Linked DNA regions of Struthio camelus. The protein of the gene in region 1 purifies or fractionates together with the protein of each later gene. This does not show direct contact. Links are inferred from orthologs where the notes say so. Each region holds a gene or a part of one and is shown on either strand. Other genes may lie near its edges.

The links.
Region 2: the proteins of CEBPB (region 1) and ATF3 purify together in Homo sapiens (affinity purification with western blotting; 3 studies listed by BioGRID and IntAct, with this or other methods). This does not show direct contact. The link is inferred for Struthio camelus from reciprocal best matches to the Homo sapiens genes CEBPB and ATF3.

The regions. Positions count from the first base shown.
Region 1 is NC_090959.1:10,031,242-10,038,759, forward strand, and holds the start of CEBPB (CCAAT/enhancer-binding protein beta), read left to right. Parts: upstream 1-4,481; 5' UTR 4,482-4,769; coding exon 4,770-5,756; 3' UTR 5,757-6,880; intron 6,881-7,489; 3' UTR 7,490-7,518. UniProt on the Homo sapiens protein: Important transcription factor regulating the expression of genes involved in immune and inflammatory responses. Also plays a significant role in adipogenesis, as well as in the gluconeogenic pathway, liver regeneration, and hematopoiesis.
Region 2 is NC_090944.1:114,230,750-114,238,134, forward strand, and holds the start of ATF3 (cyclic AMP-dependent transcription factor ATF-3), read left to right. Parts: upstream 1-4,128; 5' UTR 4,129-4,316; intron 4,317-7,385.

The DNA.
Region 1 (7,518 bases):
GACAGTAGCTGCTGCTTTGCACCGCTCCCCCTCACGGGCATTCGTGTGCACCCTGCCTCTCTGCTCTCTCGCAGAGCCCCAGAGTGGGTGCTCTGACCTGCAATCTGCTCTGGAAAATTTTCCGTCTGGTAGGAGAAGGTATTTTGCTCATGTTGTCCCACCGGCTGGAGGCACCAGTGCCAATCTCCAGGTGTCGTCTCTGCAGCACCCGGTAGGGCAAAGAGCAGCAAGTAGATAAAGCAGGGATTGAGCAACCTACCACTGCAAAGGCCAAGCATGCCGGGTCAGAGGTGAGCAGAAAATAAGCAGAAGACTAACAAATACCCGAGCATCATCATGTCACATGGGAGCAAGGGGTGAGGGAGCACTGAGTCAGGGGGAGGACTCTGTGCTGCAACGAAAGAACCGCACGAGGCCAGGAGACCTGGCCGCAGCGGGCAGCCGAACAACCTGCCATGGGAGCTTGCAATGCTGAATACAAAAGCTGGAGTTCAAAGAGAGAGGGGACCAGGTGCCCACAGTTTTTTATTTCAAAATAAGGCAAAATCTCAGGTCTGAGAAGTAGGGGAGACAGAAGGAAAGCCAGCCTCTTCCTAAGTTGAGACATTGTCTCTATCTGATGTTGATACAGTGGAGCAGGGTGAGTGCAAAGCAATAGCCTGAAATTCGGCCTCTACCAGGTACAGCGCTTGAGTTTTTGCTGGCATAAGGTTGGCAGCTGCATAAAAAAGGACCTGGGGCCAGGAAGAAGGAAAAGGCAGAGCACAGAACATGCTCAGAAATAAACTTCCATTTTACTTCTCTATTTTTCAGCTTTTATTACAGCATGGCTCCACTTAAGTCAGCCTCTCAGACAAGATCACCTCCTACCCCCCAGCAAGCTCCCCAGGTCGCCCCCGTGCTCTCCCAGGCTCTCCCGAAAGCCATTACACTCTCTTCTTTAACTCACCTCCAACACACTGTCTGCAACACCTTGTTCACTGGTGCACGCCATCAACTTCTGGCATTAACCTCTTCCCTCTTAGCCCCTCTTCTGCTCCTGAACATCTTGTTTTTGGACCGCAGATCTCTGGGCGAGCTGCGTGTTCGCACCATGCTTACCATGCTGCAGCACTGATCTGACTGATCTGCTAGCAATTACTGCAAGGCAAATAACACATGAGAGAAGTCTGCAGCAAGAAGCATCAAAATTATAGCCAACTTTTTCCTAGCGTACAATCCCCAATCCATAGACCTTCTTACAAACACTTCAGTGTATGATGTGTCACTATTAAACTGGTATCTTCTCCTCTAGGCTGATGTCCTTCAGGGACAGCTGCTGTAACCTAGAGGGCAGGACTGGAGAGCTTGTAAGAAATAGTGGAAAAGAAGACAATTTCCAGAAAGAAGATGCCTCTACAACGCTTTAGTGTAGGGTTGAGCCTAGAGCTGGAAAATTGTGGCTTTACAGTACAGAAGGGAAACTGGAGGGCAGAATCTAAGTCCTGACAGAAATGAGCAGTGAATAAGAGATTCTTCCCTCCACCTTTTCCTCTTTCTGGTATCAGTGTGCTACCCTTCCAGTATTTATATTGTTTTACGCATGAATCCGGAAGCATCTGGATTTTATTGCATCAGAAAAAAAATTTTTTTTGCTCAAAAATGTTGATGTTCTAACTAAGTAATCTGTGAATGATGCCGTCTCCTTCCCCAGTTGACTAGTTCTGAAAAGGGAAATCATGAAATCATTAGAAAGCAGGCGCTTTTGACAAAATATTGACTTTCTGCTGAAGGTTGCTCTGTCAGGACACCCATTGCAAAAGTGCTCTCACCCTCAGGTATTTCACAGGGTGACACCAGTACCTGGACCCCTCAACCAAGAAATGTCTGCACCTCAATTTCTGCCTAAAGTATCTCTCTAAAGCGAAGGCTTTTGGGGAGGATTAGTAGCCCGTGCACATCTGGCCAGGCCAGGCCACAGCAGTCTCAGGGACAGGACTGAGTGTGCTCAGGCCCCTGCCCAGGCTGCCTGGGACAATCCTCCGCAGTGTGCGCCTTGCTCTGCACCTGCTCACGCTTCCAAAACCCCATTTCTGGCCATGCATTTGTTATGACAAGTGCAAAAACAAATTAAAAGACACAAGAGTTAGCTCAAAACTGGCTTGCTGAATGTGAGGGTTTTGGATAAGTGGTTAATTCCGCCAACAAGGTTCCCATGAGAAGTTGTGACTGGATGTTGCTTCCCCGTGAGTGGCTGCTGGGCTTTGAGGTGAGCTGGAGGAAGTTTAAAGAGATGCAGGGACAGTGCGGAGGTGAGGGGGGAGACGGGATGGAGGCGACAAGCTGGGCATCCAGCCTCAATTCCTGTGCTGGCTGACGTGTGATCTCCGTGAGTACAGAATTACTCAGCGCGGGCCTGGAAAGGAGGTGTGGGCCATACCATCTCTGATACAATCTCTTTCACATGATAGTTGCACAGACATTTTGTTAGGGAAGATCGGCCTAGGCTCAGGTACAACTTTCTGCTACAGAGCAGCAGCAAATAGGGCAGCAGGTCAAAGAAAGCAAATGTGAGATCCCCAGAAACATCTTGAAAATTTGCCCAGGAGATTTACCAGTTTTAATGTTCAGTTTTAGCTAACGGCCACGGTAAGCTAGAGATCTGCCAAAGACCAAACATGCATTTCGGGGAGCCATCACTGTAGGAGACCACCTGCTTGTGAGTCCCTCTGCTTGGAGGTAGAAAGCACGTGAGAGCAATTTCCACGAGTTCAGTTGCAAGGGCCAGTTACAGCAGCCGTTGCCTATAACTGCCAGATGAGAACGCAGGATAAAGACATAGAAGAAAAGAGTAAACTGCCAGAAGAACGAGCCCCGGCTCACTACAACTTGCCAGCATTTGCACCTAATACAGATGTTTGTCTTCATGAAGGTATGGGCTGCAGCTACAACCTGCAGACCAGATCTCTGGCCAGGCCCAGCTCCAGTTTAATCTCTGGTGCACTCACCAAAGATTAGCCTGGTAGATAAAGATGGAACTAGAAATATTTGAAGTCTGCAAACCTGTTAGGGTACTTTCATTATGGAAAGAAAAAGCCATTGAAAATGTGAAAAGAAAAAGAAAAGAGGAGAAAAAAGAAAAGAAAGAAAAGCCTGATGGTCTACTGACTGATTTCTGAATTCTTCCTCTTTTCAAAGTTTTGAGGTTTGAACATTATGAACAGTTGACTGTTTGAATCGCATAATGCAATACCTGTTCCTCTGGCTTAACGTTACAGTATTTCCCACACCGCAGGATTGCTTCACATTATTCTGAGAGGCAGTGTCATTTTCCCTGCAGTGCTAGGCCTTCTTTACTAAGGCGAAGGACACTCCTACTTCCTTTAATTATATGTTTTGTTTTAAATTAATGTCCTTTATTCTGGGGATGAATCACCAGCTTGTAGACAGGTAAATGTGGGAGTAAGAGAGAGAAAATATAAGTTTGATTCCCAAGGTGGGTGTCTTTAATTAAAAACGGACATCAAGATTCAGTCTTCCTTCCTAAACTTACCCTGCAATTCTAAAAACACGTGGATTCCATGTTTCTATGCACGTATCTCACTTTCCTTCTGAATCACTTTAAATACGGCCCCCTTCGGTTTCAGAGCACAAATTCCCTATCACTTGTGTACCCTGACAGTTGCACCATATCATGTAAAGTAAATACGCCAAGACAAACGTTAAGGCCATCATCCCTGCGTGAAGAGGTGGGGAGGGGAGCGCAGGGTTTGCTCAGCTCTCTAACCGCTCATAGCCGCAAGAAGGAAGTCTGGAGCAGCGCCGTGTCCTGCTCCAGCTCCATTTCACCGAGTTCCCTGCTGGCTGTTGTAAAGTGGTTCGGAGCACGTCTCTATGGGACAGTTTTGCCTGCCAGTGGGATTTACTTGATTAAACATTGGCCGGAGAATAACAGGATCTGTCTTCTATTTGCAGCTTTTTCCCTGCCTTGGCAAAAGAACTCGGAAAAATCCCTCCTGCCTTGATTTCCCCAAGGGTAAAACAGGACCCAAACGGGATTTGCACCCACCTCTGCACGGCACTTTCCGCCCTACAGCACTAAACCCTACTCTCAGGTGCAAAAGATCCAGCCTGTACTGGCACGACGGCGGCAGCAGCGTCTCAGGACGGGCGACACTCGTGTGTGTCCACGTCCCGCAGACCCTCCAGGGGCGAGTAGCGTCCACTGACCTCTCGTGCAGATTTTACAACAGCTCAGAAAAATCAGCCGGCAGGAAGAAAGGTTGCCCTGCTCTTTCTCTTACCTGCAGGACTGTGCGAGTAAGTCCCCTCCCTCAAAAGCCAACCCTGTTTTATTCCGGGTGGCTAGGTACAGTCGCACACGCACACACCCCCCAAGTGCCTCCTGCGGGGCCAGCGCCAGCGGTTGCGAAGTGTGCAGCGTGGCAGGCGGCCAGGCGCTGACGTTCCTGTTGCTATGGGATCCACCGCCCCTATAAATAACTGAGCAAAGGAACTTTCCTAAGTCAGAGACTTTAGGACACGGGACCCAGAACCAGATGGTCCGGAGGCGAAACGCCGGCTCGAGTAGCACCAGCAGGAGCGGTAAAGCCCCGCCGTGCCGCAGGAACTGATCCAGCCCCGGTGCTGGGCAGCGCAGCTGGGGGCCGTACCCAGCACCAGAGACTGAGGCAGGGTTTGGAGCCCCCCACCGCAACGGCGGCAGCTTGATCCTCTGCCGGGGGGGGCCCCTGCGCTGTTTTCTCCTCCCTGCATCCCTCTTTGCTTTCATGCAACGCCTGGTGGCCTGGGACGCAGCATGCCTCCCCATCCAGCCACCCGCCTTTAAATCCATGGAAGTGGCTAATTTCTATTACGAGGCGGACTGTCTGGCTGCTCTGAACAAGCTGCACCCGCGGGCGGTCGGGGGCCGCTCCATGACCGAGCTCACCGTCGGGGACCACGAGAGAGCCATCGACTTCAGCCCCTACCTGGACCCCTTAGCATCCCAGCAGCCGGCGCAGCCGCCTCCTCCCGCAGCAGCAGCAGGGGGCAACTTTGAGCCTGCCTGCAGCAGCGGCGGCGGCCAAGATTTCCTTTCCGATCTCTTCGCCGAGGACTATAAAGGCAGCGGCGGCAGCAAGAAGCCCGACTACACCTACATCAGCCTCGCCCGGCACAGCCACCCCTGCGCCAGCCAGAGCCACAAGCCGGGGGGGCTGCCGGGCTGCTTCCCGCCCCAGATCGTGGAGACCAAAGTGGAGCCGGTCTTCGAGACCCTGGACTCTTGCAAGGGGCCCCGTAAGGAAGAAGGGGGAGCCGGGCCGGGACCGGGGGGCATGTCCTCTCCCTACGGCAGCACCGTGCGCTCCTACCTGGGTTACCAGTCGGTGCCGAGCGGCAGCAGCGGGAACCTGTCCACCTCGTCCTCCTCCAGCCCCCCCGGCACCCCCAACCCCTCCGAGTCCTCCAAGTCGGCCGCCGCCGGCGGGGGCTACTCCGGCCCCCCGGCGGGCAAGAGCAAGCCCAAGAAGTGCGTGGACAAGCACAGCGACGAGTACAAGCTGCGCCGGGAGCGGAACAACATCGCGGTGCGCAAGAGCCGCGACAAAGCCAAAATGCGCAACCTGGAGACGCAGCACAAAGTCTTGGAACTGACGGCCGAGAACGAGCGGCTGCAGAAGAAGGTGGAGCAGCTCTCCCGGGAGCTGAGCACCCTCAGGAACTTGTTCAAACAGCTGCCCGAGCCCCTGCTCGCCTCCTCGCCGCGCTGCTGACCCCCGCGCCGGGCCGGGCCGCGCCGCCGCCGGCTCCCTCCTCTCGGGCCGGGAGAGGAGGAGAGCCCGGGGGGCGGATTGGTTCTGTTTTCGGGGTTTTTTTTTTGTTTTTCTTTTTTTTTTTTTGGTCTTTATTTACGTGTGGGCGGAAGGCCCCGCCACGGCGAGCTGCCGCGCGGGCTGCCCGCGGGGGCCCCGGCCCCGGCCCCGGCCCCGGCCCCGGGCGGGCTCCGCAGGCGGCGGGGCGCGGGGGTTATTTAAAACGGCGAGAGGAGAGCGAGGGCAGAGTGATGCAATCCTTTAAGCATGGCTGGGAATGCTGTGTACATGATGCAATCTCGTGTAACTGTCAGTCATGAATTGAGTAATCTGTTAAAGATGTTCCTACAGTTTTTTTTTTTTTATTATAAAGAATAATCTATTTCTATAAGAAAATACATATGTATATTTTGGGATCTATGCATTCTTGCTACATTTGAAGCATTAATGAACAATTTTAATAAACTTTATGACTAGGTTAAAAAAGTAGCTTGTTTTATTTTGAGAGCACGTTTAAAGTGAGATTAGAGACAGAGCTGAAAATCTAGCTCAATCTGGCTCAATGCTGAGATCAAGGACCAAGATTTTTTTTTGGTCTTTTGACTTTCTCTGTAACTCAGCAAAAAAAAAAAAAGGAGGGGGAGGGGGACGAAAAAAAAAAAAAAGACCTAGCAAAGAGCAGAGCTGGGAGCTTTAGCCAGTTCTTTCTTGCTGCCTCTTCTTATTTCCTCTTATCACTTGCTTTAGCTGCAGCTTGGGGGTTGTTTGGGGAGAAAGTGTTTGTTTTGGGGTTTTTTGCAATTCTCGCTGTTCTTGGTGTGTAGAGACGTGCTGTCCAAAGCGTGAGCAGTACCTAGCAAAGCAATGCCAAGTCTGAAGTGGGAGGGAGGAAGAAAAAAGTAAGGAAGGAAGTTTGAAATGAGTTGTTGTTGTTTTTTTTTCCTTTAAGGAGTGTCTATTCTCCAAGTTACAATTCAGCATTTCTTGTGTTTGTAGTTTACAGGAATAAACATGAGGAAGTAGCATATCTGTTGGATGTCAGTAATTTGGTCAAGGCTGAGAAAGCTTGCATGAAACCTGGCCAGGTGAGAGGCGCTTGAATAACTCTCCCTAGTACTTTCTCTTGAGACTTTTTAAAAAATGTTTCTAAAAACCGTGGGTAGAGTTTCTCCGTTGAAAGCTGTTTGTTTATGTGTGCATGCGTGTTTGCTGGGGCAAAACAACAGATAACGTGTGGGGGTGGCAGAAAAGGAGGAACTTGCAATAGGCCATAACTTTGTTTCAAAGAGCAATAAGGCTTTGCTGCCGCTACGGAGCCCGACTTGCCAAGGCCCCCGAGCCGTGTATTTCCTGACTCCCCACTGTTCGCTGCTGTGTGGATGTCTGTAAAAAGTTAACCGTCTTGAGCTGGTTACATGGAGGGAGTTGAGCAAATGATCAAATCTTACTCAGCATTTTCCATTTTCCTGTTAGGCCAAATTTAACCACTAAGTTTTAAAATCTGGATTCCCAGTGCCCCGCAAAAGAAATTTCCTCACTGTCTATACTCTGTTTGACAGCTGAATAGAGAATATATTTTTTTAAACAAAAAAGTAGATTTGAATTTGCTGCTGTATATTCCAATATAAAGAGTAATTTTTGCAATTCTCAATGCAGAAAAAGGAAAAATCTTGATTTTGATTGCTTACTTCTAGCGTTTCTTTAAACAAAGCATGAGTTCTGC
Region 2 (7,385 bases), on another chromosome or scaffold:
GATGGGAGCTACTGCTGCTGCTTCTACCACAGAATAGTCCCTTCGCTCAAGCAGTAGCAACCTCAACTTTGGAAAACATAGTCCCAAGTTTCATCACTGCTGATGGTCTGGTCAAATGTCAAACTAGTCTGAGAACTAGCGTGTGTTTTGAGGAACAGGGGTATCTTACCGCATAGGTTCAGAACTGGATGTACGGCAGAGCACAAATCATGGCAGAAGTTAATTCTCACCACGGAAATATCGAATACCTCTCCTTGGCAGAGAGTTTAATTTTGTGCTGGTTTTGCAACACGGTACATCGGAGTTCCAGAACGCTCTTTCTCATATGTGTGCCATGGAGGGAAACACTGGACCCACCAGGGCTACAGTAATACAACTAAAACCACTGAGCACACAGGGAGACCGATTTTACTCAAGATATCCCTACACGTTTAATGTACATTTCGTTGCATGTTCCCCAGACCAGATGGGTTTAGTGGAATTGTATGACCATAAAACCACACAGGATCTGGATTTTATGGTGTTATTTCGACTGAGATTGTACAGTTTCATAAATTTTAAGACAAGGGAGAGCAGAAAGCTTTCATGGTGAGGGTGCAAATCCATTGCTTAGCAGCTCTGTAGAGAACCACATTTTAGTCTTAACCAAATCCCCGCAGTGTCTGAAGCAGCGTGAAGGGATGTGGAGGCAGGATGTGGTCAGGAAAAGGTAGAGGCAGGAGTGCGCTCCTCTCCCTGCGCGGGCTGCAAGGACAACACCATGGGGTGCTCCTCGGGGTGGTGTTTTCTCCACCGAGAGAAAACCCAGTAGCTGTCCGTGCTCTGGTGAGGAGCTGCTGTGCCTGGCTCCAGGGAAGGCAGGAGTAATTAACACTGACTTCGTGGCTGCGAAATGGTTGCTGTTTCGGCAGGATTGTCCCCTGAAGTTTCTGGTAGCAGCAGACAAATGAAAGAGAAGAGCATTGGTAAACGTTTAGAGGGAGGCAAATGAAAGGTATTTAAAGCCATGTTGCAAAACGAACCTGGCGAAGAGCATTAGAGCGTCTGGTGGCTCCACTGTTTAGCTTCCTGATATTCTTTATAGTTATATGTAACTTCTGGGAGCTGGAGTCGGACCCTACATCTTTACTGAGTCAAGTTAGCTTTGGGAGCAGGATCAAACCTATGGGATACACTGGAACTTAGCTTATTTTTCCCTGTGGTTTCATTTTCTTTTTTTACAGAAGAATTTCAAGCCAGGACATGTTTCAGTGGCCTAATCTTAAATGCGCACAGGAACAATCTCTCTGTTTGTTTTGCAGGGAGGAGCTCTCTCATTTCAGAGGCAGTTGAAGAATTAACACAACTGTTTTACTGTCAATTTCTAGTTCCAAACGTAGCTCATTGTCAATAATGGTACCAGCAGTAATGAAGAAGTGTTGTATAGAAAACAAACGTATCGGTTTAGTCTTGTGTAACACAGTACTATTTCAAAAACTCAGTAATCATCTGCCTACTTGGTGCAGTGTTGTGATTGTTCGGCAAATGTTAGTGACCCTTAAACAACAGGATAAGAGTACTTATTTTCCAAAGGTACTTCTAACCACATAGAAGGAGGGAATTGCTTTTTTTTCACCTTTACTATTCTGTGGCATTGCTCTACTTAGCTAAAAATACTCTAAGTTTCCATTTATGATACAGCTAGTAAAATAAGAATGGACAGTTGCTAAATCTTCTCTGTCAGAATTACAGCAAGCACCTGGTCATGACCACTAAAACTAATGTTGCTAAACCGTTTCCACAATAACTTCATGCTCAGAACTTTCCAACCAATTATCTTTTGAGATGAAATTTTCCACATTTGGCCTCCTTCGGGAGTAATACTTTTTCCTTTGGGTTTGAGAAAAATGACGCCAGCTGTTTTCGAGTGGGGCATGAATGGTAAAATTATGCCTTTGTAGTAATAAAAATTTCACAGACTGTACCAAGCTGAAAAGCAAAACTTGCTCTAGACCCCTGTGAAGAGCAAAGTTTTTGCCTGGAATTGTATTTGCCATTGATTTACATAGATTAACAAAGATAAGATAATAAACATGTTTTGAAAGAGCTGAGATTGATTTATCTATAGGCGAGTACTTGAGCCTACAGCTAGAAAAGCCTATAGTTTGCAAGAGTTGCAAACTGAGGGCTGCCAGGTAGGTCAGAGGAGCTCATTACGGCGTCCTCAAAGTGCCTTTCATCGTTTGAGGAGAGCAGGGAACAACTGTACCTACTGCAAGAGGAAAGCGAACATCGTTAGTCCAAGCTCTCTTTTCCTTTCCCACCAGATTTTCTTTCCTTTTTTTTTTTTTCTCCAAAGCAGACAATGAAGTATAAAATAGTGTTAAGATTGTGAAGTTGAGCATGCAAGCGTGGTGCCATTTAAAAAGCTAAGACTGCTATTCATGTCTATGCGACCAATGTACACACATTTAGGTATTTACATGCGTACACAGGCAGTCACACACGGAGGGGAGATACAAACCCACGGACGTTACATCAACTGGAATGTAATACCCTTGTTAAAATGCTCCAAGCAATTAGTACATCCCAGAATAAACAACTGGAGACATATTATCATAATACAGCCTCATTGAACTTTATGAAATTGATTAACTTTTTGGAACACTGTTGTTCAGGGTATAAGTTGTAGCTATAAATAAATGTATCAGTTAATACAGTTAGGACATCCTCAAGCTTTTAAATGTCCTGATCTTTCCGTACTTGGTACATAAGAAAGAGACCTGAAGACTTTGTTAACGGCCGTTTTTGCACCTCTGGAATATGCTTGTGTTGGATAACAGCGTGGGTGCATCTGCCCTTGCAAGCGTTGTGCGCCTCCTTTGGGCAAGCGTTTCTTTGACAGATCTATGTTCCAGCACTTTGGGGGCTGGTGGAGGCAATTTCTGTTGTTTAACGAATCAGGAAGCTACGAAAACAGAACAGAACAGAACAAAACCCCCTTCACCACAGCCAACACCGCCATGCTTCCCTGTCTCCTACGGCGGACTCTTTGGTTTTCCCTGAAAGCATAAGGACATCGTGAGCTGACGTGTTTTAAGAAAAGGATTTTTTGTTATTTGTTATTAGCTTCCTGTCATGCCATTGAATGGGTCTTTCCTCCTCAGGGTAAAAAGTGAAGTCGTCCTCTTCCACATGTAAACTGAACTTTTCGCTGACATTTGAAGCAGGACGGGGAGAAGGATGCGTGGGAGGAGGGGAGGGCTGAGCAATTTTTCAGTGAAGTAGGATCACATTTTTCAGCCCTTTTGAAAAAAATCTTCCCTTATTTTCACTTTCTCTAAGTGTGGTGAAAGGCTCTTTGGCTCGTTCTGGATCAGCAGAAGGCGTCCCACCCGCCGAAAGACGCCCCCCGACTGGCGGGGGAAGGATGAAAGCAGGACGGGAGAAGCGAAGCGGGAGAGCGCTCGCGGGGCCGGCGGAGCGCACGGGGCCCCCCCGCTACCGCCGCCCGGCCCTCCCGGACCCCGGGGCCGCCCCGGGCGCCCCCTCCCCTGCCTTCCTCTCCCCTGCTCGTCCCGTCGCTCGCGGCCCGGCACGCAGGTGCGGGGCGACCATCCGGCGGCGCGGCGCGGCGCGGCGCGGCTCGGCGCGGCGCGGCTCGGCGCGGCGCGGCTCGGCTCGGCGCGGCGCGGCTCGGCTCGGCACGGCACGGCACGGCTCGGCTCGGATCGGCGCGGCTCGGCTCGGCACGGCTCGGCTCGGCTCAGCGCGGCACGGCTCGACTCGGCTCGACTCGACTCGGCTCGGCTCGGCTCGGCTCGGCTCGGCTCGGCGCAGCTTGGCTCAGCGCGGCACAGCACGGCGCGGCACGGCTCGGCGCGGCTCGCTCGTCTTATGGTGCGCGCTCCGTGCCGCGCCGGGCCGGGCCGGGCCGGGCCGAGCCGTGCGGAGCCGTGCGGTGCGGTGCCGCCCCGCCCCCGGGCCGGCGGGGCCGCCTTGCATCACCGCCGCGGGCCCCCGCGCCCCCCCCGCCGCCCTCTCTCCCGCGGCGGCTATTAATAGCATGACATCAGCCCGGGACTCGCCGCCAGAGTAAATACCAGCGCTGCCCACTCGGCTATATAAGGGGGGTGATGCAACCGCGGCGAGAGGCAGAGGCGCGGCGAGCGGTGAGCGGGCGCTGCTCTCCCGGCGGCGGCGGAGCAGCAGCAGCAGCAGCAGCGCGGACGGCGGAGCGCGGACTGCCGCGGCCGGGGCAGCGCCGCGGGGCAGGCGCGGAGCCCGCTCCCTCCGGACCCTCCCGGGGCTGGGAAACCGGCGGCGGCGGCAGAGAGGTAGGTGAGAGCGGAGACGGTCGCGGGGACCCCTGGCCGGCGGGGGCGCAGCCCGCCGCGCTGCCGCCCGCCGCCCGGCGCGGAGAGGCGCCCCGGGGCCGGTCCCGACGAGCCGGGCGGAGCGGAGCTGGGACCGGCGCCCCCGGCCCGGCCGGGCCCCCGCGCCGCTGCCGGGGGGAGCCCGCCGGCCGCTGCCCCGGTGGCGGCAGTGCGGGGCGGCCCCGCGGCTGCTGCCCGCGCCCGGCCCGCGGGGATGCCCGGTCCCGGCTCCGGCGGCGGCGGCGCCCTGGGAGCGGCAGCGAGCGCCGTGCGATCTCGCCGCGCTCACTTTTCCCTCCGTGCCGGTGACCGCCGCGGAGAAGAGCGGTTGCTGAACTGTTGCCTAATCGAGTCAGGCGTGACACAACAGAAAACTTGCTAGAGAGAAGGAGTTTCCTGCCCGAAATCGATTCCCTTCGTAGTAAGAGCGTTTGAGGAGCTGGAAGCCAGCAGAGAGTGACTCGGGAATGATGTGGGATGTCAGAAGGCTTAAGGTCAACCAGCGTGCACAGAGGTTGCGAACTGTAATTGCCCTTAATGCTATTTAAGATTAACCTCAATGGTTATCGGGGTTTATTGCATCAGCACCAGAGGAAAAGGAATTTGTGTGAAGAAATAAAACCAAGAGGCTCAGTCAGCCGTGTACAGCTAAGCCAAAGAGAAAAGACTTGAAGCAGTCACTTATAGTATCAGTATTAAACTACAATACGCTTAAGTAATAGAGCCGGGGACCTCACAGCTAGGCACTGCATCCTGAAATTAAAATATTGTCCAACGAGATGTAAAAGTTCAGTGTAGGTGGAAGGAATCATCAGTAAAAGAACAAACAAAAAGTAGGGAGGGAACAACTCTCTAAAGTTGTTTGAGCCTACCAGAATTTGGAGGGAGCCATTAAGAGAAAAGCTGTTAACTGTCGAACTAGGGATAAGGCAAGGAAGCATTAACTCACACTGGGAGGGAGCTGTGCCTTTACCGGCCAGGTCTGTGACCTGTTCAGCACCTTCAGCAGCCAAGGGTTTCAGAGGTGTTCGGGGCAGCCTGGAGCCCAGGGCCACGCGCGCCCCTGCTCTGGCAGAGCAAACAGCAACGCTATCGGAAAGGCCCCAGTGTGCTCACCCTGTAAGGTTAGACAGTCCTGTTCCTGGTATTTCCCCAACTGTTTTAGGTTCTTTACAAACCCGAAGAAAATGGTACACTGCTTTTGATAGCTTATCGAGAGAGATAACGTTTGGACAAAAACTGGGAGAAAGGAAGGGAGGGCAAACTGTTGCATTTTTTTAATAACAAAATCTAATTTTTATTCTTGTAAAACATTTCTAAAAGCAGAACTCTTCTTCAGAAACAGGAAAATATCTACCTTACTGTTAAGAAAAGGAAATCTATTTAGCCTACTAGGTAGCTTTGAGACAAGGCTGAATATTTTTATTATTTATACCATGGTGGGTCCTACAGCTCTCAGGGCTGGAGAGGAGCCCTACCATGCTAGACACTGTCCACAAGCCCTGCTGCGGAGCCCCGAGCAGCGAACCGGCGGCACATAGCTCCACGAAATGGGAGTCGGCTGATGGCAGAAATCCTCACGCAAACCTCAGCCCCCCGGTAGGCCCTCCCTTCCCTAAAGTCTGAGTCAATAGAGGTGCCTTTCAGGATGTTGAGAAGGTCAGTGAGCTGCTCCGGCAGGAGAGCAGCAAGTTTCTACAGCCAAGGACACTTCCTTCTCCGTGCTTCCCCTTCGGGTGGCCACCTTCCCACTCCCCTTTTTTCTTTTTAAACCGAGGGGAGACCGACTGGAGTACCTGAGGATATTATAGTACAGTACAGTACTTACTGCTGCCAGTGCTACCCTTAGCACTAACAGAAATCCGGTGTGAACAGTGTTTCTCAGGCACTTGGCTGAAATATGAACATTCTTGGTTTCCTCTGGTGAGGAATATATGAGTAAAGGAATAAACCACCAGTGCTGGGAAACTGTGAGCCCAATTAATTATTTTGTAGGTTGTTACTGTTAATTTAAGAGTCCTGATTTGAGTGCATTAAACATAATTGACGTTGTCAAATGGAACCATCTCCGGGAGCCAAAGAGACTGACAGTCAGCAAACAGAGCTGCTAGCAATGAGGGGTTCAGCGCTATCTGGACTTAGCCTGTTTCAATGTGTTGAATGGTTGCCTGTTGGTAAATGGTAGATAATGTTGGGAGAAGTTTAGCTGGAAATTATAGGGATGTTTCTGACTTGTTGGAAAAGAGTAACTGCTTGCTTTCTGAAATTATAGGATTAAACTGTATCAGTACTTTAAACGTGACTCATGAGCAGGGGCTTTCTGGAGAGAATTACATAAATTTCCCAAGGTCTCTCTGAATAACAAATTGTTCCAAATAATTTCCCCGTCTTTAGTAACTAAAGGTGAAATCCGGGCCCCACTGAGGTCAACAGAAAAACTCCTTTTGACTGCAGTAGGTTCAGGATTTCACCTCCAGAATGTGGGAAAACTTCGGCTATTCTGTGGTCACCGAGTCTGAAAGCGAGGGGACCTGTGCAGCCGGACAGTGTCATTCTCTCCCATCAGGCAATTCGCTGTCCTCAGGATTTGTATTTACCTCACTTAGCAATGAACCAGCCTCTACTCTGACTTACAGCAGGGTGGATTTACGGTACACTTTTAGATAGCTCTGAGCAAAATCTATCTTCCTGTCAAGGCGCGTGATGCCCAGACGTTTCTTGCTGTGTTACACAGGTAGCATACAGGGAACTGTGCAGCTCTGGGCTGACTATGCGGAAATTTAACTTACCCACATTGCTACCCTGAGGCAGCTACTTGCTTACCTGCATTAAGTTAATTATAATTGACTTTGCTGTAATTATTGCAATTCTAGTCAAGAGTAGATAGCACATATTGTAATTACCCCAACAGCTATTTAAAAAAGAAAAACCCCAAAACAAAAAAACAGAAACCTACACAAATGAGGAAAAGGAAAAACAGCATGGTCAAATCCAATTTAAAACAAGTTGCTTTATGCATAAGAGGAGTAA